4 linked regions of the Alligator mississippiensis genome follow. The protein of the gene in region 1 interacts with the protein of each later gene in a biochemical or structural test. Links are inferred from orthologs where the notes say so. Each region holds a gene or a part of one and is shown in the gene's direction. Other genes may lie near its edges. The genes, in order: HSPB1, MAPKAPK2, MAPKAPK5 and MAPKAPK3.

Region 1 (7,408 bases):
AGACTGGAAGGTAGCAAGTCTAATGCAGCTGTGGCTCAACACACCCTGCAGAGCCCGGCTGAAGGGCTCCTCAGAGACCTAAGACAAAGCGCAAGGTGGCTGCCCCAGCCCATCATGAAAGAGTCTGTCGGGGTGCCCATAAAGAGGCCACAGGTGCCCACTGCAAGCACAGCTGGGCTGGCAGGCCAGCTCAAACCTGTGCTGCTGGCTCAGGTGACTAGGAAGCTTTCAGGGCTGAATCTGTGGGAAGCAGAGGGAAGGAGGGGCTGGGGCAGTATGGGCAGGGAGGGCACAGAGCTGCAGTTGGAAGGAGGAAGGAGTGGCTGGAAACTGCACAGGGGCCTGGGGTTATAAATCATCCTGCCTTCACTGCGCTGAGCACTAGCTCCCAGGATGTCAAGCAGCTGCAGGGCAGCAGATGGGCTCTGACTTTGAACGAGTGTCTCCCATGTGAGAAAGGGCATCAGCTCCAGGACACAAAGATGGGTGAAGGCAAGTAACTGTGCACTGGACAGTCACTGCCAGATGGGGCACTGGATAGCAGGGGCACCTCAGCCTGTGGAGCCTAAACCAACAAACTGGGGAAGAAGGGGACCAGCTGGCACATCATGCCGTTGATGGAAAAGGCCGTGTGCAGCTCACATGGGCACAGCTCCACACTGGCAGAAAAGCACTGGCAAGGTGGGGAATAGGGCTGGCAGCCCATCGTGGGGTATAACAAGCCCTGGGCCCTGACAGCCCCCCTGAAGGCTGACTCCACCCTTCCCTGTGCACTTTAGCTCCAGGAAAGGGTCCTGTAACCCCATCTTGCTCCAGTACCTACATGGTGCTTCACTGTTGTTCCTGGCTTTCAGGAGGTCGAACGTCATCCAGCCACCCACGGCCCAAGCTGCCCTGGCCTTATCTACCCACTTCCCCCCCCTCCTCTGCTGCCACTTATCCACCAGCCGGTCCAACCCCCCAGCCCAGCCACGTGCGCATGACTCACCCACCCTTCCCTCAGCCACCCACTGAACCCTCGTGCTCACCCTCCTCCCCTTCGCTCTGCACTGCCTGACCTCAGCCCGCTTGCTAGGTTATGAGCACCTGCAGTTTCTGACGTCACCATCTGCAAACCCAGCGACCCCTACCCTGGCACACGCTGTCAGCAAGGCAGCTGCCAAAGAGAGGTTTTTTCCAGCCTGAACGAAAACAGCCACCACCGCTCAAATGCAACCCGACCAATTGCAACACGATAGGGGGGAGCGCAGCAAGGACACTTGCGGGCAGGCCTGCTGCTTTGTACCTCAACAAAGCTCTTCTCTCACCATGGGTGCCTGGTGCCACCTTAGTCAGGGGGGCACATGCCCCCCCTTTGACCAGTCCAGCCAACCGGGGCTGGAGCCACTTCTGGGAGCAGCTGCAGCAATCAGCCGGTGCCTGCAGGGGGGCACCAGTGCTCCCACCTGCTCCCTGCCCATTGCCTAAGCAACGAGCGTGGCTGGGCAGGGGGGTGCACCGGTGCTCTCAGGGGTGCATGTCCACCCCCTATGCATTGCCACTGTCTCTCACCATGACACACAAACACACACGTGTCACTTGTTCCCCTTGATCCCTCTGCAGATTGTATATAAAATGTGAAAACACAGACTCTGCTCAAGCCAGATAAAGGTCAAGCAGCCCCTGGAGAGTCCTGCTCATTTAAGCATTGGCCAACAAGCTGTGCCTTTGCATTGCATGTATGCTGCAGCAGTTTTGAGGCACCAGCTGAGACCAGTGGCCTGTTGCCCTTGAGGAGCTGGCACAGCAAGATAAAGTAACTTGGCCAAAGTCAGCTGTGGCAGAGCCTGGAGACTCCCAAGCCTGTGCCTTCACCATCAGGCATAGTCTAGCCTGCCATGCTAGAGGTGCTGGGAGAAGCTCATCCCGGAGAAAGAGAGCTACCGACCTTGCCTAGTGTTCCTCAAGGGTAAACATGAGCCTCGTCCAAGCTGCCTCTGGGGTCTGGGCAGACAGCTGTAAGAGTGTCCTCAAGGCCAAAGCCTTTCATGTCTCTGTGGTCCAGACATGGTAAGTGTATCTGAGCAGCGGCCCTGTGAGCTCTCCTAATGAACATAGATAGGGAAAGTTGGAAGGGGGTTCAGAGAAGAATTAGGAAAAGGGCCAAGAGGCCGGAGGGACTGCGGCCTGCTTGCCAAGGGCTAACCGAGAACAGCTAAAGGAGAACAGACCATCTGCTGGGAAGGGTCATTCTGGAAGATGTAGAGACCCAGGAGAGAGGAGCTGTTTATAACACAGAGTAACGGCGTTGGCATGTAACTAATAGGGGACTGAGACTGAAAGGCAGGGAAAGCTTCCCTCGGCTGGGATGGCTTGGACTGCAGCGGGTACAGAAGATGGTATGTGCACATGTGAACGATGTGCACATGAGGGGTGGTTGCAGGGGCTTCCCTGATCACTCATTCATAGGGCCACCACGTACCTCAACTCATCCGGCCAGGAAAACCCTCCAGGCACCACCTCCGAGAGGGGTCGGCCGCCCGGCAGTGGGTAGGAAACGGTGGGAACCCGCTGCTTAGCCCGGTGTGAAATGCAGGTCATTTGAACACGTCTGTGACAGACAGCCCTTCCCATTCAGTTCCTGAGCGAACTGAGAGGATGTGATAGGACAGCCAGCCAGGCTGGCAAGCGAAGCTTATCTCCGTCCACCTTGCCAAGATTTTCGAGCCTGCAGGCTGGGAGACGAGCAGCGCCGCAGCCCGGTGTGACTCAGGACCTAGAAGATTCCAGGCAGGGACACGCGGCCAAATCCTGCGCTGGCCTCAGCTGGCACGGCTCCATCCGCTCCGATGGGACGGCATCAGCTTACACCACCGGAGAGTTTGGCCAAGCATGCTGTAAGACATGCTGAGAGAACAGTTAAGAAGTGGGGATTTGGGACAACATGAGCTGGGCCACGTGACACCGGAGGATTCTGGGAGAGAAAATCGCTCCTCTCATTAGACTGATGGGCAAGGGTGGCTTATGGGCTCACGGCACTGGCCCAGCTATTACTGAAGCCAGCTGGAGCCTTACACTTCTTATCAGTTGGAGCAAAGTTAGGACAACAGTGAATGCTTTTAAAAATACCTTTCTCTATTTTAAAAGGCTTTATTTTGTGGGAATCTTTGAAGGTGATCTGAAATGAAAAAAAGAGGTCTGTGCCCTTCTTTGTGTCTGCAGGATGCACAGAGAAAGCTCAGACTCATTTGATCTTTTTCCATTTGTCTTCTCGAGCCTGTTTCTCTTGGAACGCGCAAGAAATGCCTGGAAACATGGCTGGCTTCTGGCATTAGAAATATCGTCAAAGTAACATGCCCGCGGCTCAGTGCAGGGGCACTTGGTGAAATGGAGTGGTCGATATTCGACAAAGGGTCAGACTAGGCAACTAGATAGTTGCTTCTAGTTTTAAAACTCAGAATCTGTGAATTTGAATTAAGAGGGTTAGGAAGGGTTTTTACTGCTCTGAGAGTCTAAAATTAGGGGGCTTTGCTTTTGTTAAGCCCCTTATTTAACTCAGACCCCTGAGAAACACAGGGGAGAAAAGATTTCTTTGTTAAAAATGTAACATTCTTCCCTGAAGGAAGGGCTGAGAAAGCTCATGGCACACATCCAATTCCTCCTGCTGCCAAATCAGACTCGGTGTCCCTGAGATTTGAGAGGAACAAAGAGCTGAAGGCGGAGAGACATCCATCCTGGCTTGCTCTGTCAACAGTGAAGCAGCAAATTCTCTGCCAAGACCAACGGGGGTGCCAGCGTCCCTTCCAGAAGGAATCGCCCCACCCTGCTCCTGACCCATCTTGCATTGTGCGGTGTGATCAATGCTGCTCTCAGGCTGGGGAGCTGTCCGTCTCTCCCCACCCTCTCCTTTGGACAGAGGGCAGCTGTAAGATGACAAACAGACTGGGAGTAAGTTGGCAGAGTCCAGGCCTGACTGATGTTCATCAGCAGTTACACGGTCCTGGTGTAATTTCCATTAATAGTGAGCTGAAATTCTTGGCTAAAAATAACTGGCTGCCTCTTCATAAGGGGCTGGCGGGAGGCAGCTGCTCCGTACAGACAGAGCTCGCTTTGCCGGGCTGCTGAGGTGGGACCTGCAGGAAGCCCAACATGTCGGAGCGCCGAGTGCCCTTCACCTTCCTTCGCGGCCCCAGCTGGGACCCCTTCCGGGACTGGTACCAGGGCAGCCGCCTCTTTGACCAGTCCTTCGGGATGCCTCACATCCCCGAGGACTGGTACAAGTGGCCCAGTGGCACCAGCTGGCCAGGCTACTTCCGCTTCATGCCCAGCCAAGCTGCTGCACCCATGGTCGCCGCTGCTGCCAGCCCCATCATCACCTCGCCCACTGCCACCAGCATTGACTACAGTCAGGCCCTGAGCCGCCAGCTCAGCCGTGGCATCTCGGAGATCCGGCAGACCTCAGAGAGCTGGAAGGTCACCCTAGATGTCAACCATTTTGCCCCAGAGGAGCTGGTGGTGAAGACCAAGGATGGCATTGTAGAGATCACTGGTGAGTGCTGCCTTTAGCTTCTCCTGTCTTGGGCTGGAGCACAATTGGCCTCCCATGGGAGCCTTTCTATGAACCCATTCCTCACCTTATGCCTGCTGCATGTGTAACTCAGTGGCCAGCATGAGCTACCTGTCCCCTCCCAGGCCAGATCTGTGAGGCTGTTGCAGCTCCCACCTAGCAGTGCCAGCCCTTTGGCTTGCACAGTCATAATGATCTTGTCAGCTCTAGAGACCCCCAGATCCTATCCCCAGATCTGATCACCGGCCCCAAACCTCTAGATTTCTCCCAGTTGCAGGGCAGGGGGTGCATGTTGGCAGTGCTGGCTGTCTTGTGTCATTGCAATGCTAGACCTAGAGGGAAGCTGGGGTGGCCTCACTCCAGTGCCTGCCCCTCTGCAAAGCTGGCAGCTGAGGCCTCCATTTCCCCTGGCTCCTTTCTCAGCCAGACCCCTGCCTCCTCTTCCCTTCTCCTCCTGACCTCGCTGCCTTGCTGAACTAGATAACAGCCCAGGGTGAGTTGCTCCCTCTGCTTTCAGCATGGGGGAGTTGTTGGCTCAGGTCCCTCCTTGGTGTAACTCCTGAGGGGGTTTAGTCCAAAGATGGTAGAGAAGGAAGAGCCCCACCTGCCTCAGCTCTACAAAGTCCCTGGACCTGGGAATGGAGGAAGGAGTTGATGTGGGGATCAGATCAATTATTCAATCCATTTCATTATTTTTAAAGTAGCCCTAGCAGCTTAAACCCATGGTGCAGGGCACGATACACTCGCACAGGTGAACAGCAGCTCCTGCCCCCAGAGAGCCCCCAAAGGGCAGGGGAGGGAGACTGAGGCCCAGAGCTGGACAGGGACTTGCCTAAGGTGACACAGTAGGTCAGTGGCAGAGCTAGGACTAAGACAGAAGCCATTCTCCCTGCCACAGCCACCTGCCTGCACTGTCTCCCAAGGCCCTGGAAGTCTTACCCACAACCCAGGGCTTATCCCAGGTGATGAGCAATCCAGCACCAACGGGCCTGCTGGGCAGAGCTGCCCCAGATGCAGCAGTTGTCACTTCGGGGGAATCATGTGAACACAAATCACATTCCTTCCACCCTTTCTCCCTCACCCGATCCATATCAGCGCAAGAGCTGACCAGCACATTCACAGTCCTGGATCTCATCAGAGAAATGTGGGTGAAGGAGGGAATGGTAATGAAATACCTCCCCCACCCGCAGTCCTCAACCAGTCCTACTCAGTCTCCCTTCCTCAAAGTCTAATGGAAAACTCAGTGTACAATCATCAGACTCGATGATCTGTTGAGGGTCCTTCCGACCCCAGCATCTATGAATCGATGAATCACCTGAACCCCCAACACATTCAACCAGGTTTCAACCCAACCCAAAGAAACCAACAAAGCTTTGACCTATAGCTTGGCCTGATTGCCTATGAATCGTCCCCTCCCCTACTTTGTTCAGGGACTCTTTCAAACCACAGTCTTTTTGAGCCAGATCCCCAACCAGGGTAGACAGGCAGAGCAACATCGATTTCAATAGTGCTATATCCATTTACAACCAGTGAAAAGCTGACTCTGCATTCAGGGTTTACTGGGAAGCCCAGAGGCAGGTGAGTGGCTGCACATATATATATATATATATATATTTTTGTAAAGCAGTTGCCCTGTTTTCTCATTAAATGCTCCCCTGGTGACCAGGAATGTATCTGTGGATAACAAGGAGCTGGCTGGCAGTGAGCCCATTAATTCCCTTCTGAGGGCTCCTTTTCCTTTAAAGCAATATAAGAGCACTGATCTGTCAGAGTAACCGTGAGAGCCGTCCCCTGAGTACATGCTGCACCTGAGCTGCAGCCATCAGGAGCTCTGATTAGACAGAAGATCATCAAACGTGACAGCCAGCAGTGTCATCTTTGAATTCCTGATTCAGAAGAGTGACTGCTATGAATTTTAAGCCCCTGAATTGACACAATCCGGGCCCTTCTAGACTCCATCCCACAATATGCCAGACCTAGGCAGCCACTGGAAAATCCTGCAATGGGCTCCTTTGTGATGAAACCAGTGAATGGTTGGTAGCGGGTTGCTGGAAGTTGATAGATAATGGATGACTGAAAAGAATAGCTCCGAGTCAAGTCAAACCAGGCGCCACACACAGGGGCGAATTAATGCAAGAGCCCATGGGGCCTGGGCACCAGGGGCAGCACAGCCCAGGCAGGCATCCTGGCAGCAGGCATCCGGGGCAGGCAGCGCGATGCTCCTGCCCTCAGCCAGGCCATACAGGTGCAGGTGGTGGCAGCTTACCGGGGCTGTCTGTTGCCAGGAGGCCCCACGGGCAGCCCCACTCCCATTTCTGCTCTCTGCCGTCTGCGGACAGCCACCAGCACCAGCACCAGTACCGCTGAAACAGGATGGGACAGGACATCGGGGCTGGCAGAGAGGTGGGCGGTCAGCCAAGGGCAGCACAGAGCCCATGCCCCCGCTCCCCCCAAGTCAGCTTCAGCCCAGGCCTGTCCCACAACGCTGGAGGACCACAGCCCCGGCAGTGTAACACCTGCCAGGTGGAGGGGCTGGCCCGGGTTGGAACTGGGGCCGCCTTCACCACAGTGGCACTTGCCCCCTGGCTCATCCTGAACATGCCAAGGAGGCTGGGCGGGCTCAGCCACAGCCCCCTGGAGGGCACAGAGACAACTTGCCCTCGCCAGGCAACGAAGCGCTCGGAGCAGGGGCTATGCCCTGCTGCCATTTTCCCAGCCGGGGCAGGGGGGGCAATGCAGGCGCGGCTCGCTCCAGACAGAAGGGGGCAAATGGCAGCGGGGCATAGCCCCCACTCCCAGTGCTGCTATGCCTGCATCAGGGCTGGGAGCGGGGGCTCTGCCCTGCTGCTGCTTGCCAGCTAG
Region 2 (8,307 bases), about 25 Mb from region 1:
CATGCTGGGTGCGGAGGATTAGCGGGGAAAAGGAAAGTCCTGTGGTGAACGGACTGCAATGGGACAAAGGATGTGTGAATTTTATCTCCTGGCCTGGCTGCAGGCTGTGTGACATGGGGCAAGTCATTTAATCTCCCTGGGTCCTGCTTTCCAGCTTGTAAAATGGAGGTGACAATTCTCCTTCTCACTCCCTGTGTTTAACCTCTTCAGACCATAGGATGTGTGGGGCAGGAGTTCTCCCCTGTATGCATTTACAGCGTCTAGCTCTATGGGGCCTGGTCTTAGACAAGGCCTGGAGATGATTAATATGCCTATTAATAGTCTCTCCACTGGCAAATCCTGCATTTCCAAATGATATCTTCATAATTGTGCTGTGCAACTCTGGAGCAGGCAGCAGAGGTGGGGAAGTGGGTCTGTCAGCTTCCTGGCAGACCCTAAATACATCTGCAAAGCAAAACTTTGTCTCTCAGCATCTGCACAACCGTCCACCCCCAGACTACTCAAACAGCTTTAATGAGTTTTTGACCTCTACGATGCATCATTATGAATCCCTTGGCATTTAACTCTCACCCTGAGACCCCTTCTTAATCAGGGCAATGGAGGCTGATAAAATCTTGATTGAAACATAGGTTCTGTGAGATGCTGCAAGTCCAGGAATTGCTCAGGAGGGGAATAGTCACGTACTGTGAGCACTTAAGCAGCAATGGAGCAGGGTAATGGTCTCCTGATGAAAACCCTGAGCCTGGAAGACATTGATTCTTTATCATCAGTATTATTTGTAGCCATGCCCAGTGACAGCTGTGGGTTTAATCATTCTTCCATCTGAGGAATAGCTCTACAGCTGAGTGACAGCAACTCAGGCAGTCATCACTGATATGATACGTTTTCAAGTGGCTGGTGCATCTTGTTGCTTCAGCCAGTTGAAGATAAGCTGTTCTACCAGGGACAGATATTATACATAAACCGGTATAAATGATTGCAAACCAGTTCAAATCTGTAATGCAACAGAAGTTCAGTGCACATAAACCACTTTCAGAATGGATGAAACCAGTTTAAGATAAACCTGGATGGATGTATCAGACTTAACGGATTTAGGTTAAATTGGTTTATTGAACTTCTGTCCCTGATCCGCTCCAGATTCAAGTTAACTCTCAGACCCCCAGCATCCCAGCATGCTTTGCACCTCCACCCTTGCAGGGTAGGCGGGCTAGACTTAGCTCAAGCTGCCTGCTTCAGCCGAGCAGGGAGGTGTGCTCTTGTGCACCCTGGTTCCTGGCCTAAACCACTGCAGGTCTGTGGCTGCATTTCTGGAATCAAAAGTGAACAATTATTCACTTGCTTATCGGTTCAATCTATGCAGTTTAGACTGACCTGCGAAGGTTGAATCAATTCAGCCTTGGGCTTTCTGGCTGTCTGTACTTAGCTTTAAAGCACAGGCTTTTAAAAAAGCATGATATACATTTCCAAGCTGGTAGATTTATTTTATCGGTGTGGTTTTGAAACCTGAAAGGCATGTATTGTTCGTGGAAGGTATGGGTTGAGAGATGGAAAATGAAGTCTTCCACAGATTGTACTGCTTATGAGCTACCAGTTCTAGCTTCTCCCACCGTGATGTGGTGTCTGTAGCTCCATCTGTTATAGTGTACTTTTCTATCTTCTGTTTGAAGTGGTTGCCTTTTGGGGCTCAGTTCAGATCCAGCATGTTGCAGATGTAACATCTTCCCCATGATTTCATGTCCTTACTTTCTCAAGGTCATGATTTCCCTTGATGTTAAAATGGGGGAAACCCCAAGCCCCTGGATTGGAAGTATGTGTAGGGCTAAACCTAACACCTGGGCTGAGAAGGCAAGTCTCTGTGGCCTGTTGTGTCCTTTATAGGTGAATTAGGCTCTATCCCCAAGTGTCAAGGTTCAAGGGGCTCCACCAAGTAGCTGCAACTATTTTTTCTTGGGGCAGCGAGGAGTTTCCCAGGATATGCTGTTTATGTGTCTGTGGCTTTGGGGACTGTGTGTACCTGCAAACATGGGAATAATCTCATTGGGGAGAATTTTCAGAAGTGCCTAAGTGGCTTAGGAGCCTCAGTTCCATTGGAAGAAAATAGATCTTGGGTTCAAAGGGCTTCAGTCACTTTCAAAATAAGGGGCTTAGGCATATTTTGAAACCTAAAAATGGTTTTGAGTATGTGCTTAAAGTCAGGCAAGTATTTGCACACCTTCCTGAATCAGGGCCTCGGGTTGAAATTCATCACTGTACAGAGGCCCAGGAAACCACAACCACAGGGAGAAAAATTTCTTAGTGGCAGTGACACTATCACGTGTCACAGAGACCAGCACCATATTTAATTCTGTAAATTAATTAACAAAGACAACCAGGGATTATTAATGACCAATACTGCAAGGCCACTTCCTGTTTTCTGTCCCCAGAGGAAAAATTTCCACTGAACCTTAGCCCAGGATAAAGAGCTGTTCATTGCCTCTTGTTGGACGCTGGGCTGATCAGTGATATATTGGCTCTCAGTGATGACTCCTTATCTCTTCGTTCACATCTGAAGCATGCTGGTGTCTTTATTGGATTCTGGATAGAACAGGGAGCACAGGTTAATTTGCTATCTTTGGGATGTCCTTTGTTCATTGCAGAACTGTTTCTCGCCTCCTACCCTTTCACTGACACTCAATCTGCCTGCTCTATTATTCATGTCCCCTGTCTTCCTGGGAATTGATCATAGATAAACAGTCATCAGAAAACAGGGCGGTTGGGCACATGCAATTCTTAACCCATTGATGTTTGGAGTGTTACGGGTGCTAGGAAGAAGTGAAAACCTGCTTAACGCTTGTTAACAGGCCCTCCCCAGGGGAAGATTGGAAGCTTGCCTTGCCTCAAACTCCCGCTATGGATTTTATTTTTTTTTTTAAATCAAAGAACAAAATACCTTCTGATTTTCCTCTTTTTCACTCTGATGGCTTCCTGGGCAATAAAGACCCCAACAAAATCTCCAGAGATGCTACACGGCTGATGAGATCTATCTCAGCATGTGTGGGGCCTCTATCACGGCAGCATGCGAGTGCCTCCCAGCACCCCTGGGTGGTGACTTGAATGTAATCTCTCGGCACAAGGCAGAGATGACCTGACCTTTGTGCAAAAGAGTGTGTGGCTGAGCTGGGGCCTGCAACCTCTCTCATCCATTGGAGACTGGTGCTTTGCCCGCTATGGCATCCTTGCTGTCCTAAGGAGAGACTACGTTTTTCTCCTAAAGCTGTTGGGGTCCTGGGGAAAGCAGCATATTAAAACTAGGGAAATCCCTTCCCTCTGTATCTCTTTGGGATGGGGTTGAGGATGACCCACAGGGGCCCCTTTCTGTCTAGGGGTTGGTGGGCACTGGACCCATCTACACCGAGACCTCTGGCCTCTGTCCTGACTCGCACATGAACAATTTTGGGGCTTGTTGTGGTGGCCTGGTCTCCATACAGAAGACACAACCCTCATTCCTCCATCCTGCCAGGTTAGTGTGTGGAATAACAAGGCATCTTCAGTGCTGATGGCAGCTCTTTCTACATTTGTTTGGCAAACACTCGGCCACAAACTGAACAGCATTGTTCTTGATGGCTGAGCAGAGCCGACAGCTACCAAAGGCTTCCCCTGTAATAGCGTGTGCGCAAATATGCAGCATTCCTTCCCCACCTGCTCCTCCCTGCTTAAAAACAAAGTGTCTTAGAAATGCAGAAGGGCCTGCATGAGATGGCGGAAGAACCTTTAACGTTTGCCTTGTGTTTTCTTTGTGGGGACATAAGGGAAATGACTATTCCTTGAGCTGCTGGCGTTTTGTGTACCAAGCGCCACTCAATTTTTAATCACATGTACTCATTTTTCAAGGATTCCCACAATTCCTGCGGACTTAGCCAACTCTCCAGATTTCAGCCCTTCGTTGGGGATCTCTGAGTGAACGAGTGGTGGCATTTGTGTACCTGGGGTAAAATCCGCCCATGTACCGAGGCCAAGACGAGGCCGACGTGCTTTGTACGAGGCATTTGTTGATAGCAAAGGCAAGGAGGGCATAGCTTGGGTATGGGTCCCCTCTATACAGCTTCTTTTTGCTGTCGCCCATTCAAAGCGATGTCTCTGCATTTGGACAGAGCAGTGTGGCAGTATGATAAATTCTGATTTTAAGTTTGCTTTGGCCTTGTTTTGGCACCTTGGGATCCAGCCGGCCACTCTCTCTCTGCCTCCCAAAAGGAACTAGTTTCCAGGTTTCTTTCTACAACTTTCCCATTTGTTTTCTCAGAGGCCAGAGGACTCCTGGAATTGAGCGATGACCTCTTAACACCACCTGGCCCTCCCTGGGTGGGGACAAGCGGCCTGTCGGCACAAAAGCTGGTGGCACTGCCAGGACCTAAGTGAACCCAACAGATATGGCTACCTTTAGTTTCTCCTATGGAAGCCCAGTCTGCTGGCCACGGGGATCTCCTTACAGCCGCTTCATCTCCTAGGATGGGGACCACCCGAAGGCCTCAGGCTTGGTGACGCTGGTGTAAGTCTAAGGTCTGGGAGGATGGAAGTGGCTGGACTGCTGCGGGGCAGGGGATGGGGGCTACTTTCTTTCTTGAGGACTTTTTTTCCTTCTTTTCCTTCCAGCTCCGCAGGCCAGACCAACCGGGGTTGGCTTCAGAAACTTCTCCTCCCAGAAACGAGGGTAAGAAGGGCCCTCAGGAGGTCTGGTCCAACCCTGCCGGGACCTGGGTTTACTCCCAGGAAGGATCCGGCCCACAACACCAAGGCCCGACCCTGCCCTTCTCTTCTCCCGCCGCCGGCTCCTGTTTCTTCCCCCTGCATCTTCCTAAACCCCCTTGTCGCCGGCCCCGCCCCGCGGGCGCGGCAGCCAATGGCGGCGCGGCGGGGCTTTGTGACGTCGCGCGGCGGCCCCGCCCGGGGGGCGAGGTTGCTACATTGTAGCGCTCCCTTTCCTGGCTCCGGGTTCGGAGGAGCGGGCGGCGATCGCGGCGGCCCGGGGCGGGGCGGGGGCTCGGGCCGGGGGGGGAGGCGCTTCTCCCGCCCGGATCCGGCGCGGAGGGGGCTGCCCCGCTTGCTGCCGAGCCCGGCGGGTCGCGGCGCCTCTCCGGCGCTTGCCCTCCAACTTCCTCCGGCGGAGGGGCGGGGAGAGGAGCCGTCCCGGCCGGGCTGCCATGCTGTCCAACACGCCGACCCCGCCGGCGCTGTTCCCCAACCCACCGCCGCCGCCGCCGCCGCCCCCCCAGCAGCCGCCGCCGGCCCAGGCCCCGCCGCCGGCCCCGCCGCAGCCGCACCCCGCGCTCCAGCAGCAGTTCCCCCAGTTCCACGTGAAGGCGGGCCTGCAGATCAAGAAGAACGCCATCACGGACGATTACAAGGTCACCACGCAGGTGCTGGGCTTGGGCATCAACGGGAAAGTTTTGGAGATCTTCAGCAAGAAGACGGGGGAGAAATTCGCCCTCAAGGTAGGTGGGGGCAGCTGTCCTGGATCCCCCTGTCCCCTGCCCCGGGTTGGGGCTGACCCAGGAGTCCCAACCCTGCCCCCTGGCTTTGCCTGTGGTCTCCCCCCGGGCAGGGCAGGGCAGGGCAGGGCAGGGCAGGGCGCTCCTCCTCCTGCTTGGGAAAAGCCCCCAGAATCCTTGCTGGGTTTTGCCCCCTCTTCCCTCCCAGCCGGCTTTTGTGTGCGAGGCTGGCCTCGTGTTTTCTTTGGATCCGAGGAAGCACTTGGCGTTGGCAGAGAGAGGGGTTGTGTGGGGTGAGGGTCCTCCCAGCCTTTCCCAGGCTTGGTGTGTCCGAAAGGGCTGGGGTGGGGAGAGAGAGAGGAGCCCCCCTGGAAGCACTGCAGGCCCTCCAGTGACCAGCGCCAGGAGGGACTGGCCTGTGTCTGGGTGGAGAATTCAGTTCCATGGTGGCTCTGGCAACACGGCCATGGATCCTTCCTGACGGCTGCTACAGGTCATCCCCCCCCCCCTCCCCCCCCAACCCTCCACTCCCACCTTGGGAATTAGCTGGCAGGAGGACTTCCCTGGTGCTGGGGTGGCTGGTTTTCCCTGTAGATCCCCCCCCTCTCCCACTCCTTCCTGTGGCTGGGGGAGAGGGGATGTGAGAAATACCAGCAACAGTTACCGCCCAGCAGTGATGGAACATGTCTGCTGTCTTGTTACACGGAAATACAGCCGGTTGCGAAGACGAGCAGTCTCTCGGTACGGGGTAGAATGAGCAAATCTATGAAACTGCAGAGACAAAAGAGCTCCTGTGATGCCCCCCCTCCATCAAAATGAAAACGCCCTTTAAAAAAGATCCAGTGTACGTCCTGCCCTCCGTGCCGCTGGGGTTTGTTATGCGTTGTACCTGGGCTGAACAACGAAATGGGGGCAGCCGGTTTCACTTTCTGGCTTTCTTGCGTGGCGTTGCTACTGTTTCCGTCCCTGCTGTGCAATGTCTGCCCCCACTTAAACTTCTGCCCGCTAACATGGGCAAAGCTGGGCCGTGAGTTGGTTTAAAACCATACAAAATAATGTGGCAAGGGGTTGATTCTAGGGCCTAAGTATCAAGTTTGAGAGGCAAAGTCGCCTCCAGTCTTGAAGATTTGTTCCAGCTTGTTTCTGGGTGACGTTGTACAACTCCAGCTCCCGTGCGCAGACGCTCAGGCTCTGGTAGGACTCTGTCAATGCAGAAGTTGGTCTGGTTGTCCTTGTTTAATAATCCTCTTCAGCAGTTACGTTGTAGACACGAAATGTCTCCTCTTCTCCATCCCAGAGCTGGGTGCTTTTTGGTGGCACTGTGTGTGTGTATATAGCAGTCCGTAACATGCCTTTGCTTGAAAGGTGTTTATATAAATAGTGTGCTAAAGTATACACACCAGGCCACAGTAATGTGATGGTTTCCCTTTTCTCAAGTGAGCCTTTGGAGAAGGGGACAGTGTTTCTCTGCTGCGGGGAAGCTGGGAAAGTTTATTCATGCAATGCAGTGCTAAGCATCAGGTGGGATGGGTACGAACCGTCTCCTCCGGGGAGCGTTCCACATCTTAGACGCGATCTGCTCCCACTCGTTTGCTGTTCCGAAACTCTGTTACCTGGTTCGTTGTGAAGATTTAAAAAAACAAAACCAAACCCACAACCCAAGCCAGCTTCTGGATTGCCTGTGTTTCACTGGTCTTTAAATGAGGACATCTGCTTAAGGCTGGGCTTGCTAAGCTCAACACAATAAAGGAGGAGCCTTCTTGATGTGCAGATCCCCCATCAATCAGGATCCTCCTTCAGAAGGGAGGTGCAGGTGCCGGTGTCTGCTGAGATGTGTAGAGGAAGGGGGAGGGAAATTACTGCTGCAGATCTAATATTTTAGGGAAAAGAAATGGGGGTTATTCTGCTGAGTGACACGTGCGTAACTTTTTTGTCTAAAAGGCTGACATTTCTCATTAGCCGCACTGTTGCGCTTGAGGAACATGCATTAAATCCCTTTTTCCTCCCCCCACCATCCCTCCCTTTCGACTGTAAATGAGTAGGATCAACCTCTGTTTTGACAGACTTGCTCGCTCCATCAATTTGAAAGTTGACTCAACTGTTTGAATAGCAGTTTCGTACGCTTTCTGGGTGAAAAAACAAAAGAGGAAGAGCGGCAGGGTGAGGCATAGGGAAAGGGATGCCTTGAGTCAGCAGCTGTCCCTTATCAAAATACGGGCTAAGCTCAGAGCAGGGCCTCTGAGCTGTGATGCTCTTGTCTGTCCTATCCTGCTCCGCCAGCCACGTGGCCACGGTGTGTGTTCGATTGCGTTTCGTTGGTTGTGCTTAAATGCCTCTCACAGCTCAGGGTTTTAATAGCATTAAAATGGAACATAAATCACAGCCTTTACCTTTCAGCTTAAATCCCACCCCCTACCTTGTTTCACTACCTCTGGGACCTGTATGAAGATGGAAAGCTGTGGCCACGTGGGGCCAAATCTTTCCATGTGTGAGCTAAGCAATAGTGCCTGCAGATGTGCCGGATCCAGCAGCAAGGCAAAGGAACGTGACAGATTCAAGTGGGAATGTTTCTGCTGGGACGTTGTCCCCACCCCCATCATTCTCCTCTCTTCCTTCCGGACCGAGAAGAGTTTAGCTGAGCTATCGAATGTGTTGGTGTCAGTTCAAAGTGCAGCGCAGCTGCTCCCGTAAGTGACTCCTTCTAGCACAGGAGAATCTGCTGTGCTGTTAGTTCAGGGTCTCAGACAAAGCTACCCTTCGTCCCTTCTGCCGTGAGGAGTACGTCCGACAAGCTGCCTGTCCAGTGAGCTTGGGAGACTTCAAATCCACCGGTTAAACCTGT
Region 3 (7,157 bases), on another chromosome or scaffold:
TCACATGGGTACAAGAAGGAAATCTTCATGGATAGTCTCCTTGATCCTGGTAGATGCTCTGGGAAGAGAAACTGCTTCTAACACTTGGTTTTTATTCCAGGATCAACTGCTATGATGTATTTGGAGCTCAAGCCCCGTTTGGTGGGTACAAAGAATCTGGGAACGGGCGAGAGCTAGGGGAGTATGGCCTGGAGGCATATACAGAAGTGAAAACGGTGAGTATCTGCATGTCTTGGAATGAGGGCAGTGGGGTGAGAAATTCAAAAGGATGTGGCTTTTTATGCCTTCTCACACCACGTAAGCAGATGGAAACTGGGTCATTCTTCGTGACATCTCAAGCTTGCTCCCTTAACCTTGGATGGGAGAAAGCTTGACACTTCTGTCAGACAAGGTTCTTTGGGTGAATCTGATATCTTTTATTAGACCAACTTAAATAGCTGGAAAACAATTATTAAGCAGGCTTTCGGGTTCAAAAACCCTTCGTCAGGCTAAGGAAGTTTCAGCAGTTGGTGTGAAACTTCATTCCATCCAGGAAGTGCACACACCAACTGCTGAAACTTCCTTAGCCTGACGAAGGGTTTTTGAACCCGAAAGCCTGCTTAATAATTGTTTTCCAACTATTTAAGTTGGTCTAATAAAAGATACCAGATTCACCCAAAGAACCTTGTCTGCCCGTGTCCTTAGACCAACACGGCTACAACCTACACCCCTGGCACTTCTGTAGCACTTCATTCTTTGCAAAATGCCAGCACAAATAGTGAACAAAACTTCATGGAAGTGTGTGAAGGGAGATGGTAACTCAATGTAGATCAGTAACATAGCCAATCATAGACTCGCAAATGAAACCCAAGAGTCCTAACTCATCTGCTACCAATTCCACTGAATGCTGTAATTGAGAAACCTCTTAGAATCTATTTGTTTTAATTGAATTTAGTTGTAAATGAGGTAATGCTGAATTTTACTCAAAATATTGTGCCTCTTGAATTAACTCCTTTGAAGAAGGAATGAAGGCTGCGTGATTAATAATGTATGTTGCCTGAAAGGAGTTTTGCCTGTTGGATAGGAAGTTGAATATCAATCAGCACCTTTAATAACTGGAGCATAGTTCCTTTTCTTCCATGGTCCTTACACTTGAGCAGAACAGCAAGAGGGTAACAGCATAGACCCATAGAAGTGAACAAAATGAACCTTACGTGCTTTTGACACGAAGGAAAGTAACCCATGTTATTGTTTCCAGGTAACAATCAAAATCCCACAGAAGAACTCGTAAAGGACGTATTCACTGCAAGGTGCATTTGAAGACTCCAGTGCAACTGAAGGTTACCAGGGTAGGGAAATAGGGAAATGTTTTTTCAAAGCAAACAGAAACATAAGTACAAAAGTGAAGAGTACTAAATATAACTAAATGCTAAGATAATATTCTTGAGAAAAGGTGCCTGAGGCAGTTCTGTGTTCTTTACCTGTCTGAAACCTCAGTTGCATTTAATTTTTTTGATAACAAACACGAATCTTTTTACATTAACGGGTGACACGTTTAGGTAATTTCTTGTTGCATTCGTATCTGAAGTCTCTAATGTGGGTTGTTTTTCTTTTTAATGTTAAAAACATCATTTGGACACATTGTGAAAACTACAGTTCCTCAAAATCAGCTAATTAAAAGCTTACTGTTGGCTGGGTGGATGATTGTGTTTTTTTTAAATAATAAATCTCTCTGCCAAATTTCAGTCTACCACGAGGCACTGATTTATGTCAGCATTGCGAGCAGGATTTGGGTCCTATAAGCAGCCAAGATTGATTGTGTAATACTGGCTTCTGATATTCTGGGAGTACATATGGCTTCAGATTTTCAAAATGTAAAATACTAGGAATCTTGAAGCATAAACCTTTTTGCCACCTTGAAACAGTCATTTGAAATCTGCCTGCATTACATATAGCTTTCATAATAAACATGCTTGTCCTGTTCAGCCTGTTCTACTTGATAAAGCTGATCCTGAATTATGGCTGAATATTTCATGGATGCTGGTGTGTTTAAACATTGCTTGATTTAAACAGCATGGAGATGTTATTTATTTTTTCAAAAGACATTGGCATAATTCTTCACATTGGCATGAAGTCCACGGAAACCAAAGCTGAGGCCTGACTCAGTGCTGCGAGGTTTTCTTGGAAGTTCTTCACCCTCGGTATTAATCTTCAAACAAAGCTAAAGAGTTGAGAAGTAGGAGGGATGATGGGGAAATACTTCTGTCAGTTGAAGGTACTCGACTGACATCTACAGGCCACTAAGTCGTCCTAACATGCGATGGGGCTTTGCCGTGATGGTGACGGTCTCTGCATCTGTTTATTAAGCGATCAGGAGACGCAGCCCCTTCTTTACACAACGCAGCTACCGGCTCGATGAAAGCGGTGACCTAAGAACTGCTTGATTTACCGGTTATTTGATCAACCATGCTGCGATAGAGAAGCAAGAGCCCAGAGGGAGGGTGCTGGCCAGCACTGGTCCAAAAAAATGTAAATGTACTTTAAAAACAGGGTGTCTTAACAGTGCAGCATCCAAGTTCAAGTAGAGGGTGATTTGTTATTGAAAAGGGAGCCAGTTAAGATTTCCAGTTGCACCTCTGCACGGGTCCTGAAGAGGATAACTTTCATGCGCTCCCCGTTAACTCGCACCCAGCAAGGGCCAGATCGCACGGGTCTGAGGCGTTTCCTGATGCCGACTGGAAGAACTGCCCCCAGCGGCCCCGGGGCCTGACCCGCGAGGGGCAAAGCCAGCGCCCCTCAACCGTCTCGGACTCGCGCTTTAGGTGGGTCTCGGAAACTGCCAGCTCTTTCTTTTCAGGATGGAAAATAAGACGGCGGGCTTTCTGTTGCCAAGTTAAGGAAGACCACAAAGTCAGAATTATTTTTAACACTAGGCATCGCTTGCAGCCTCTGGGTTGATCTTGCCAGTCATGCCTGCACACCCAGCGGGGCGCCCGAGAGCACGGCCGGGCACGCCTGGGCGCCAGGGTGAGACTCGCTCGTCCGCCGGCCCCCGCAGGAGCCATTGACCCCTCGTTTTTGGAGGCAGGAGACGAGGCTGTGGGGGCAGAGCGCGGGCCCAGCGCCCTGAGGCACGAGGGGGCCTGAGCCTGGCCTAGCCCCCACCACCTCGCGACTACGAGGCACCAGCTCTTTCCCTGTCTTTTTTTTTTTATTATTATTTAATATAATAATATTAATTATTCCCCAGTGAGGCATTTTTCTATCATTATTATTTAATATAATATTAATTATTCCCCACTAAGTCTTTTTTATTTTTATTATTTAATATTCCTCACTGAGGCATCTTTTCCATTATTATTTAATAATATTATTCCCCCACTGAGGCATCTTTTCTATATTATTTAACATAATAATAATAAAAGCAACTCAGTGGGGAATAATAGTATTACTATAAAAATATTAGTTATGCCCCACTGAGGAGTCTTTTTTACTATTATTTAATATTAAAATATTAATTATTCTCCAGTGAGGAGTCTTTTTTTTAATAATTATTATTTAGCATAATAATATTAATTATTCCCTAGTAAGGAGTGTTTTGAATGTGATTATTATTTACTACAACAATATTCACGATGCTATTAACAAACCTACCCATCCCTCACAAAATGGCGAAGAGAACGCTGCGCGCGCTGCTTTTATAGCCCTCATATCTCGCGAGACTTCGGGGCCTCACCAACCTGCTCGGTGACGTTTCCATCTGAGGGGCGAGGCGATGGTCGCCAGTGCGCGGTGACGTCACAAGAAAGGGCCCGGCGGTTGCAAGGCCCCCGGTGGGTGGGGGTCTTTAGGCCCCTGCGGTCGCTTTGTCAGAGGAGGCTAAGCGAGTGCCTGTCAAGCGCTCCGCCGCGTCGGAGGGGGCTCCTAAAATCCGGGGAGCGGCGCGGGGGGGCAGCGCTCGGGCCGCGCGCCCGCGCCAGGGCTGTGCCGGCGGCGCTCGGGGGGGCTCGGGGCGCCGCGCGGCCCGGCGGGGCTGCCCCGCCTCGCCTCGCCATCGCCGGCAATGCCCGGCTCCCAGGCGGCCGCGGCGTCTCGGCGGCTTCCGGGCGGAGCGCGGCCGCGGCCCGGCCGGGCGGCATGAGGCGGGCTCCGCCGGGGCTGCCCGTCGCCTAGCGCGGCCCGGGCCCGCGGGGCCATGTCGGACGAGCGCAACATGGAGCGGACGATCAAGGTAGGCGGCAGCGGCGCCCTCATGGACTCGCGCCCTAGGGAGGGACGGGACGGGACGGGACGGGACCTGGTTGTGTCGGCCCCGCGGCTGGACGCGGCCTGGCTTCGTGGGCATGGGGGCTGGCCGGGACCTGGGTTTGTAGGCATGGGGGCTGGATTGCATCTGGTTTTTGTAGACATGGGGGCTGGACGGGACCTGGCGAGATCATCGGTCCGGCCCGACCGTAGCAGAAGTTGACACGTTTCCCGACGCCTGGGCCCGTCCTCGCGGGAACGAGTCTGTGCGCGCGGAAAAGAGGTCTGCGCCGTTGTGTTGCGTGTCTTCGGTCTGACCGCGGCGCGGTTGTGCCCGAGGGGAAGAGAAGGTGGGACTTACCTTGGGCTGCAAGGTGAACGGAAAAATATACCGCTCGCACGGGTCTGGTGGAGGAGGATCCTTCACCTCACGGTGACGCGACTATGAACGAACGCTCGGGCTGATTTTTAAGACGGTGAGGAAATATAAAATCCCTCCAGTCGTAGCGGTAAAACACTTTCAAGAGGAAACTGCATCGCTTTGGATAAAGCACGTGCACGCTCTTCAGCGTGACTTCTCCTCCCAGTCGCGTCACGAGGTCTGTGCCTTGCAGCACTTTTAGTCCGAGTTACTTTCTTCCGGCCTTTGCTACCTGAATTTACAAGGGATTGACTTAAATCAGGAAAGACGAAGCCTCGATTTAAATCTCTCGTTAGTTTTGCTCGCGTTTGTACGTTTCAGTTTTTCTTCCACCTGCGCTAGTCAGACTCTCTTTAAGACGTTGATTTTTGCAGATAAATGGAACCTTTATCCTAAGATTTCAACGCTGCTTTTTTGCTAACCAAGTGGACATAATAGACATAAACAGCTTAACGTACGCTTACCGGGGTCCTTAATGTTTACACTTTAGTATATTAGGAAATGAGTGTCTCATTGGCCAGGGGTGGAGGTTGTAGCCGTGTTTGTCTGCCTATGTCCTTAGACCAGGTTCCTTGGGTGAATCTGATATCTTTTATTAGACCAACCCAAATAGTTGGAGAGTAGTTATTGGCCAGTTACGTGACGTTTTGTTTACTCCTGCTTTGTCAAGCCGATCTTATGGAAACTGGACTTCAACTACAAATGCAGAAAAGCAGCATTTGAACAATTATTATTACTTAAATAAAAACCTATTAAATGTGCTGGGTGCAGAAGGAAAATAAAGCCAGTATGTTAGATTTAGAGCTGCCTGATTTATTAATGAAAGGAAGTATTATTTGTAGTCAGTGAATTGGGCTGATTGTTTCTGGTGGCCACGTCCTTCAAGATTTTAGTAACAGATCTCAGCCTATCGTACCTTGTTTTTATTCATGGAGTGCGTTGTGGGGGAAACAAGCTTTCCTGCTCTTTCAACTCTCAGTTTCTTAAACTTGGATGAACCAGTCATTGGACCGAACCGATCTGAAAGAGGCCGAATGTTTTCTCTGCGGCCGCAGAAGGCGCTCCAGCTGTCAAACGCTGTTTCTCTCTTTGCCAAACCCTGGTTCTAGGTGCTTAGCCAATGACTTTCCAGACGACCTGCCAACATGCACGTGCTGCTTGAATACTGCTGTTGGGTCATATGAATTATTTTTATAGAGTTTTAGTAAGTGTAGTCCTCGGAGTAGGTTGTCCTAAGTTCGGATTCACTTTACGTGGAAAAAAATATATATATTGAAGTTAAAAAACAAAAAACCAAAAAAACCCCTCTGTGCCTTTATCTGTTCTTTGGACAAAGCTTCAAGTTTCCGGTGTCTGTTAGTGTCTGTGGGTTGGGACTGCATAGGAACAGTGGATCTCATCACACTATACCTTCTTCTTGGTGCGTTCCTAGCCAAAAGACCGGGCTTTTTTAAGATTGTATTTTCCTTTTACCTGTCGCTCACTCTACTCCCTGTAGCAAAATGACAGAGTATAGACTAAAACATACACCAAGGCAATCCTGCCTTGAGAAGGGTGTTGGACTGGATGACCTCCTGAGGTCCCTTCCAGCCCTACTCTATGATACTCTGATCTGCTCCTTAACATGTCTTTCCAAGATTGCTGGAATTGCTGTTAGCTCTAATCAGTTTAATTAAAGTAATGTTAAGGACTCCAAATGTATGAGCTCTAGCCCTTTCCAAAACCTGCCTTCAAGAACATCTTTTCTGGGGGCTTCCTGTCAACATTAATGCTCCAGCTGCAATAAATGTTTTTGTCTCATTTAAATAAAATCCACATAATTTGAGCTTGCAGCATGTCAGTAATGCATCGGGACACTATCATCTGCCTCATATAAAGATCGTGTGTTTCATGGTATAAGGTGTGACCTCTCCGATTGTGCTAGTTCCCACTGTTTAGTGACGCATTTATCGTGCACGGAGTTGAAATGTGGTAACTGGAAAACGGTTGTTTCAGACCTTGTAGGGTAGGGAAACCGATGGGTAGAACAGAGCGTGGATTGGGATTGGCCACTTTTCTGTTTCTATGCACATCAGAAGTCCAGATCTAAATACAGTCACTTGGCAGGTGGTTTATTTCTGTCTCTGCACAGCCTTTTAAAAGTCGTCTTCTCCTGTTTTCTCCCCTGTTGACTTCTGTTGCGTCCTTGTTTCTCTTGACAGATTAGAACATTTGGCCCCGTTCTTTAGTTTTTATTGACTTTCTTATGGAAAGATGTTCAGGATCAGGACCAGTTTAAGATGTTTTTCTTGGGAACTGTATTAACATACAGCACCTGTATTCTTCTATGCTCTTTTTCCTTGGAGTTTTAGATCGCTAACTCTAACGGCAAAGGGCACAAGTATTAATCTAGGCTCTGTCTTTAATAAGGCCGAACGTATTTTCAGCATCTCGGCGCCATCATGGCATGCTTGTATGAACAGAATTGAGCTGTTGTGATTTTGGTCCCTTGCCAGACAATATCAAACTAGTT
Region 4 (7,473 bases), on another chromosome or scaffold:
TGCTCTGAGTGTTTTGGAGTTTAGTTTAGTTTGGTTTGGTTTGGGGGTTTTTTTCTGATGTGGAGAGGAGGTTCATACATAGAAAATAATTGTTTTAACAGAACATTTTATTTGCTTTATAGTAAACTCCATGAAGCACATTCTCTTCCACCTGCTAGGCACATAACTGGATTTAGGAGCTTAAGTGTAACTGTTTGAGTCCCTGAAAAACAGTTCATATGAAAGGTCAGTGGGTCCTCCTCCTCACGGTTTTTTTTTAACTTAATCTTAAGGGCCAGGTGGGGATATATTACAAAAGTAGATGCAAGATGAATTTGCATGGACTTGAAAACAGTGGAATAAAATTGCACTTAGGTGCCTGAGTCTACTTACATGCTTAATAGGTGGAATAGAATTTATATAGGAGGGCCTGAATTTGACCAGCTGGAAGTAAATAATTTAGGCCTCCATAAGAAGGGACTCTGCACACAATGACAAGCACACCTTTGAAATGGTAAATAACCTACGCATCAACATTAGCCAAACATTTTCTTAGAGGAAAAGCTGTCAGATAGGTAGGGTGTTACTAATTTTCTCTTCCTTTTCCCCTTTTTATATAATAGGGATAATAGTACTACTCTTAAAGATAAGGTGCTCAGTGCTCCAGTAAAGGAGATCATATAAGCATGTTAGATAGACAGCAAGAGGAAGACATGTTGGAACAGACATGGGCCTAATCCTTCTGACTATCCAAACAATTGTCAGTGCTTCAGGAAGATATATAAACACTACCATGCATGCATCCAGTGTTGCTACAGTCATTTGTAAAGAATTCTTACTAACTAACAGGGTAGTTTGTAGTCTCTCAGGACACTGGAGCTAGCAGTTGGAAATACCCCCGAGCCCTTCAAACATAAGTGTTCCACAGGAGAATCAGCAGTCAAGCTGGAAGTGGAAGCCTGATATTATAGTCAGGTCATTGTAATGTTCAGTAGGGGGAGAAAACATAGCCCAGCATGACAGGTGCTAGCTTGGAATCTGGGAGATCCAGGTTCTGTGCTCTGCCCTGCCAGTGACATTCTATGTGACTGCGAGCAAGGCACTTCCTCTCCCTCTGTGGGATCCATAAAGGAAGTGTTTGTTGCAGGTTCTGCCAGATTACCAGTAAGTGCAGCCTGCTTTTCCTCCAACACCACTGACATCAATGTAACACTGAAACGAGAATTGGTGGGACTATTAGATGATTAAGATGTAAAAGATGCATTTGTGGATAGCAAAGCCATAGCAGAGAAACGAAACAAATGCTTTGCATTAGTGTTTTACAAAGAAGACCCTGTGGAAATCCCCATGTGCCACATCTATCCTTTCTAGTAGATGGGTCTGAAGAGCTGGACCATATTAAAGTAACAACAGAGGAAGCTTTAGAATGAACCAATAAACTAAATACTAATAAGTCCCCAGGACCGGATGGCATTCACCTGTGAGTTCTGAAGGAATCCAAGGTGAAATTGCAGAACTGCTGGCAATAGTCTGTGATCTATCATTACAAACAGCCTCTGTGCCAGAGGACTGGTAGGCTGCTAGTATAACATCCATCTTCAAAGTAGGCTCCTGAGCTGATACTGGAAACTACAGACCAATGAGTCTCGCTTCCTTCTCTGTCAAGTTGGTAGAATCTGTAATTAAAAATAAAATCAGCAGTCACAAATATGATCTGTTGGGGAAGAGACATGGTTTTGAAAAAGGGAAATCCTGCCTCATAAACCTGCCGGAGTTCTTTGAGGATGTTAACAAGCATGTGGACAAGGGGGATCCAGTTGATACAATACCTTTGGACATTCAAAGAGCATTTGACAAGGTCCCTCAAAGGCTTTTGAAAAAACTGTGTTGACATGGGATTGGAGAAAAGGTTCTTTTGTGGAGTGAGAGCTGGGTACCAGGTAGGAAGCAAAGGATAGGGCTAAATGGTCACTTTCAGAATGGAGGAAGGTCAAAAGTGGAGCCCTACAAGGATCTCTGCCAGGCCCAATTTTATTCAATATTTCCATTAGTGACCTGATAATGGCGATGCAATATCCAAGTTTGCAGATTATACTATATTATTCTGGGTAGGTACAGAGAAGGGCAGCCAAAATGATCAGGAGCCTGGAACAGTTGCCATACCAGGAGAGACTAAAAAAGCTAGGACCTTTCATTTTGGAAAGGAGAAGGCTAAGAGGGATATGATAGCTATAAAATAATGAAGGGTGACAAACAAGTGAACAGGGAGCTGTTTATTCACCAAGTCCCAGAATATTACAAGTAGGAGGAACCTGCTTAAATTAGGAGACAGGTTTAAAACAAACAAGAGAAAATATTTTTTTATGCAACACATTGCATAAAAAATTGTCACAGGAGGTGGTAGATGGCATAGCCAGGTTAAAAAGAGGACTAGATACATTCCTGGAGGATAGTTTTTCATTATTAACTTCAGTATCTTTTACTCAGTGCTCCTCGAATTCTTTTTTTGCCCTGCCTTATTTTGGTTTTACACTTTAACTTGCCAGAGTTTGTGAACTTTACTGTTTTTCTCATTTGGGCATACCTTCCATTTTTTTTAGGATTTTTTTTTTTGCCTTGAATGTCCTTTACTGTTAAACCAGGCAGCAGTTTTACTGGTCTGCTCCGTACCCTTTTAGATTTGTGGTATACACTTTTCCTGCGTGTCTAATATGGTATTTTTAAACAGCTTCCAAGCTACCTGCAGGCTTTTTACATTTTTGACTGCTCCTTGAAACTTCTTTCTAACTTCCTCATTTTTGTGTAATTTCTCTTTCTGAAGTTGTATATTACCTTGGTGGACTTTTTGGCTTACTTCCTCTCGCCAGAATGTTGAATGTAATTATGCTGTAGTTACTATTACAGTGTTTCACCACCTCTTGAACCAGACCATGGCTGTTAGTTAGGATTAGGTCTAGAATTGCTTCTCTTCCTGTGGGGTCCAAGATGAGTTGTTCTAGGAAGAACATCCAGAAATTTTATTTCTATACCTTCCCCCAATGAGGTGTTTACCCAGTCTGCATGAGGATACTTGATGTCTCCCATTACTACTGGTTGTCCCATTTTGGACAGAAGGGAGTCCAAGGGCAGGAAAAAGCCCTAAGGAGAAGTAGGGCACCCTGTGACTACAGAAGGGCAGACAGACCTATTATTATGGGTTTATGAAAATGGGTAGGGGTAGGCTTCTCTTATGTCACTACCCTGGGAAATGCTGCAAAGACATCTGCTGTTGAGAAAGAAGAGACCAACCACAGGCTACTAGGCCTAGAAGGAAGTTGATCCTGGGAAGAGAAAGATAAAGACAGTTTTGTGCCCAGCTGTGGTCCAAAATTGGTGTTTTCCTCTGGAGTCTGACAATCCCAGAAGGGACCGGCTTAATCAGAGACCAAGTAGTCTGAGTAACTGAACTGTGCTGAAGGCCACCAGACTCGCTGAAAAAGTAAGATAACTCAAGGCTGGGATGGCTGTAGTGCCATACATATGAAGGCATGCTCCAGGCTTTCACCCTGCTCTGCTAACCCCATTTTAATTCCTGATAAAAGAGGACTCATTAGTCCTAGTAATTGTTTTCCTAACTCCCAGCACTGCAGATGGCATTACTTCTGTAAAATGTCAGATCTATTTTTAAGCCTTCAAACACGTATACCTGGGGAACCTAGCATGGAAACAGATACAGCTGTTTCAGTATGTGACTAATCTTGCCATACGAAAAACTCAGCATTTCACATCTGCGCAACAGCCCTCTGTGCACCGGCGCCGAGTGACAGGCGCTGTGGGAACCATCGCTTCTAATATCCCGGCTGAGCAGTCAGATGTGCACCCAGGCCTTAACTGCCTATTCCGGGGGAGGGCGGGAAGGACCGACCGCAGGTACTATCAACCTCGGGTAGTCCAGTAGCCGCTGAGCTGTCAGAGGGAGCGCTCGCAAAACGGCCTCAACTTCCCTCGGTAGAAATGAAGAGCTTGTTCTCTAGACTGCAGCACCAATCCTTTCACGAGTTTAAAATCCCGGGACGACTTAAACAGGACACGGCCCTGGAGGAGGCTGAAGTGCCCGGCCCGGCTGCGGTCCTCGTTGTGCGGCTGCAGCTCGGTCCTGCCACTAGAGGCCGCCCGCGGCTCAGCGCGGAGCCCGCCGCCGTCTGCGGCTGCCGCTTTGTGTAGCGCGGCGCCGGGCGGCACTCGTGCCCGGGTCAGCCCGGCTCTCGGGAGCCCCCCTCACCCACCCGCTCGCTCGTGCCCCGCGGGGTCGCCGCTGAACGCCCACCCAGCGGCTCGGGGGAAAAAAGCCCTTCCCCACGCCCCGTCCCCGTCCCGGGCAGCCGCGAGGGCCACGTGCCTCCGCCGCGGGCCCGGGCCGGGCAGTCACATGAGCGGAGCCCCGGGCCCAGCGCGGGAGGCGGCCGCGGGACTCACCTGGGGGCGGGCGGGCAGCGGGGCGGCTCCCGGGCACCTCCCGCCTGAGCCGGGGCCTCCGCGCGGGACGGCTCGGCTCGGCTCGGCTCGGCACAGCGCGGCGCAGCCAGGTAACCCCGCCCGCCCACGGCCCCTTCCTGCCCCGGGACACCCGCGGCCTCCCGCTCTGCTTCTCGAAGCCTGCCCCTCGGCCCGGCCCGGCCCGGCCCGGCGCTGGACTGGCCACAGCCGCCTTGCCGCGGGCCGAGCTGCCGTCTGGTGGCTGCGCAGCCCCGGGGCCGCGAGGCCCCTGCCCCTCCCTCGCACCGGGCCGGCAGGGAACTGCACCCAGGGGTTTCCTTCAGCTTCTCCCACCCGCTGCGGAAGTGCCCAGGCAGACCCCTAAGGTGGGTGATTAAACGTCAGGGCGTGCCTCCCCTGCCACGGGTGGGCGACCCATCACCTGGGGCCTTCCTCGTCCCAGCAGGTTGTCCCTCAGGACAGCACCTGGCACCAGAGCAGGGGACTTTCTGCTGTGCCCTGGATGGGCAGGTAGCCCTTATTAGTGGAGCCGCTCTTCCTCCAGCCCGTGCATCAGGCAGGCTAGGTAACCTCTTCCCTGGGGTTAGGTCCTCCTCCTGTCCCTGGCCCCAGTGCTGAGTCTGTGCACCAGGTACTTCTTTCAGTCCAGGGCTTGTTAAGGCCTAGACTTCATTGAGCAACATCAGGCTTTGGAGTCACTGCAAGCCTGATATTCAGAGCAATGTTCAATAATAGTGACTGCAAGCACTTTGAAGCAAGGACTATTATTTTCTGTGTTTGTATAGTTCACAACACCTAGGGGTCGTGGCCCACACAGTCTTCCAGGCAGTACTGGAGCACAGACACTGGGTAATAACAACAGACTGTCACTTGCGTACAGATTCAAGGCAAATTGTTCACATACTTTAGTAGGTAGGACCCACTTTTTTGTCTTTCTGAAGCTGGTCTTGCCACACATGAAATATGAGAAGGTGGGGAGGGGGATGCTTGTGACAGTAGAATTTAATTGCCCCAAGTATGTTTCTAAGATTCATTTACATTTTTATTCAGGGCAGTTTTGAGTGAATTTCCAACAAATGGACTCTTTGCACTTGCCTTGATCTGCTGAACAGGGAGGACCTTATTGAAGATAAACTGGGGATCTGGTGACTACTTCCATTACCTCCACTTTCTCCCTGACATGGAACAAAGTGAGGGCAAGCAGGAGCCCCAGCCAGAAGGTCATGTGGACAGCAAAAGCAATGTGAAACCCATGCCTGGGGGAGCTGCCCATGTCAGGCTAGAAATAAAAAAACACGCAGTTACGGATGACTACAAACTCTCCAAACGGGTGCTAGGCTTGGGCATTAATGGCAAAGTAATGGAGTGTTTTAACAAGGTGACAGGGCAGAAATGTGCTTTAAAGGTATGTGGGCTATTTTTTACCTTTTAGATGATTTTGAGGCCAAAGTTCCTTTTTTTAAAGTCCTATAAAAGCCATCTTGTCTATTGATGCATTCCCCAGGTGTACTGGAATTCTTGAACATGTGAATGTTTACTGTTAGTGAGAGCAGAGCTCATTAGCTGCATTTTGGTTCAATCCCAAGAGCTTTTTTTCAGACTGTTCCTGAGTGAAGTTCTATAACCACTTTCAATTGTAAAATTGTTCTGCTTTTTTTTTTGCCTGGACTAAAAAAAACCTTCCTCTGTAAGTTAGCCAGCATTTCAAATATGGATACTCTACAGTGGGCAAACATGAAACTATTTCAGAATTGTATGCAGTATAATAGTCTCATCAGGAAGTTTTTAATGTATTGGGATATGTCTCAAATTGCTTTTTTTTTTAAAAGCATACCAAAAAAAGAGCACCTAAAGGCAATCTGGATCCTGGGTTTGGGGAGTTGAAAAGATGACGAAAGGTAGGTCTTAACAAATGCTTAAGAGAGGTTTTTGGGGTTTTTTTCCCCCTTTTTTCTTTCAACTATTAGTTTAGGTAGTTTTTCTGGCAGTTAATAGGAACTTCAGGGTATAGGAGTGAATCCTCCTGTACTTCCATAAGGGTAGAACCTATTAAAACAGGTTCCATGTATCAGATCACAACAAATGCATTTACCCCCTTGCCCAAGGTGAGCACAGTTTGGTGACAAGAAGCCTTTAAATGAACAAGGAAAAACTTGCTTGCAACCATTGGGCTGATCAACCAGTTTCTGCATTATTTAAGCTTTTCAAATTAAGGTTTTAGGTCTAACAGTGGCAAAGTTAATCTTTCAAATGTGAGCCAGTACAGACCTGTCTTGCTGAGTCTGTAAGCAGTTTGAAACACTAGTCATGTGAACTGCCTTGGGGCTCAGTACTACTATACTCCTACCTGAAGTATAACTAGAATGTCTAGAAAATGTCAACCACACTTTTCCTTCCCCAGCCCTATATCCTGCATGTATTGGCAAAGTAAGAAAAATCTGTTAGTAATTGACTGCATGACCTGTCAAAGTATAGACAAGGTCTCATCTGTAGCCAGCTGGACCAGAATTCTACATCAGGTTTCATGCATTCTTCAGTCCTCTGATATGGCAGACTAGAAGTATTCAGCAGCTTGATTTATTGAAAAGGTGGCTTAATGGATTAAATGTGAAAAGACATAATACAATCAGTGCTGAAATGTGACGGTAAAATAACATGGAAACAAATTTGCACAGTCCCACGTCTTCAGTTGTTTTTATCACACCAATTTCTATACCGATAATGCATAGCTGACTTCCGGAAGTTTGAAAGGATGGGGCTAGAGATATTGGCAAGTTGATGTGGGAGTATTGGGACTTCTGACGTGCAGATAGGTGTGGGAAGCAGTTTGGGACTGAGAGAGAAATATCCAGTCAGCAGTGAGTCAGTCCATGGTAATAACATGTCAATCTAATTTTTAGACTTTGTCCATTAAAATGAACATTTAACTTTCAGAGCTGTTTCAGTGTGTCTGCATTCTGCAGCAGGCCTAACTGAATTGCTTTACACTTGGTTAATAGTCTCAAGGTTTTCTATGCA

Evidence for each region.
Region 2: of the proteins of HSPB1 (region 1) and MAPKAPK2, one has a biochemical effect on the other in vitro, tested with the Homo sapiens proteins (17 studies listed by BioGRID and IntAct, with this or other methods). The link is inferred for Alligator mississippiensis from reciprocal best matches to the Homo sapiens genes HSPB1 and MAPKAPK2.
Region 3: of the proteins of HSPB1 (region 1) and MAPKAPK5, one has a biochemical effect on the other in vitro, tested with the Homo sapiens proteins (4 studies listed by BioGRID and IntAct). The link is inferred for Alligator mississippiensis from reciprocal best matches to the Homo sapiens genes HSPB1 and MAPKAPK5.
Region 4: of the proteins of HSPB1 (region 1) and MAPKAPK3, one has a biochemical effect on the other in vitro, tested with the Homo sapiens proteins (2 studies listed by BioGRID and IntAct). The link is inferred for Alligator mississippiensis from reciprocal best matches to the Homo sapiens genes HSPB1 and MAPKAPK3.

What each region holds. Positions count from the first base shown.
Region 1 is NC_081837.1:16,992,066-16,999,473, reverse strand, and holds the start of HSPB1 (heat shock protein beta-1), read left to right. Parts: upstream 1-4,115; 5' UTR 4,116-4,128; coding exon 4,129-4,528; intron 4,529-7,408. UniProt on the Homo sapiens protein: Small heat shock protein which functions as a molecular chaperone probably maintaining denatured proteins in a folding-competent state. Plays a role in stress resistance and actin organization.
Region 2 is NC_081837.1:41,799,808-41,808,114, forward strand, and holds the start of MAPKAPK2 (MAP kinase-activated protein kinase 2), read left to right. Parts: upstream 1-5,084; 5' UTR 5,085-5,177; coding exon 5,178-5,468; intron 5,469-8,307. UniProt on the Homo sapiens protein: Stress-activated serine/threonine-protein kinase involved in cytokine production, endocytosis, reorganization of the cytoskeleton, cell migration, cell cycle control, chromatin remodeling, DNA damage response and transcriptional regulation.
Region 3 is NC_081833.1:3,713,803-3,720,959, forward strand, and holds the start of MAPKAPK5 (MAP kinase-activated protein kinase 5), read left to right. Parts: upstream 1-4,057; 5' UTR 4,058-4,174; coding exon 4,175-4,210; intron 4,211-7,157. Other genes in the region: ALDH2 (aldehyde dehydrogenase, mitochondrial), read left to right, coding at 101-215, 1,238-1,270. UniProt on the Homo sapiens protein: Tumor suppressor serine/threonine-protein kinase involved in mTORC1 signaling and post-transcriptional regulation. Phosphorylates FOXO3, ERK3/MAPK6, ERK4/MAPK4, HSP27/HSPB1, p53/TP53 and RHEB.
Region 4 is NC_081835.1:45,274,660-45,282,132, forward strand, and holds the start of MAPKAPK3 (MAP kinase-activated protein kinase 3), read left to right. Parts: upstream 1-4,187; 5' UTR 4,188-4,387; coding exon 4,388-4,544; intron 4,545-4,588; exon of another isoform or gene 4,589-4,820; intron 4,821-5,505; exon of another isoform or gene 5,506-5,567; coding exon 5,568-5,860; intron 5,861-7,473. UniProt on the Homo sapiens protein: Stress-activated serine/threonine-protein kinase involved in cytokines production, endocytosis, cell migration, chromatin remodeling and transcriptional regulation.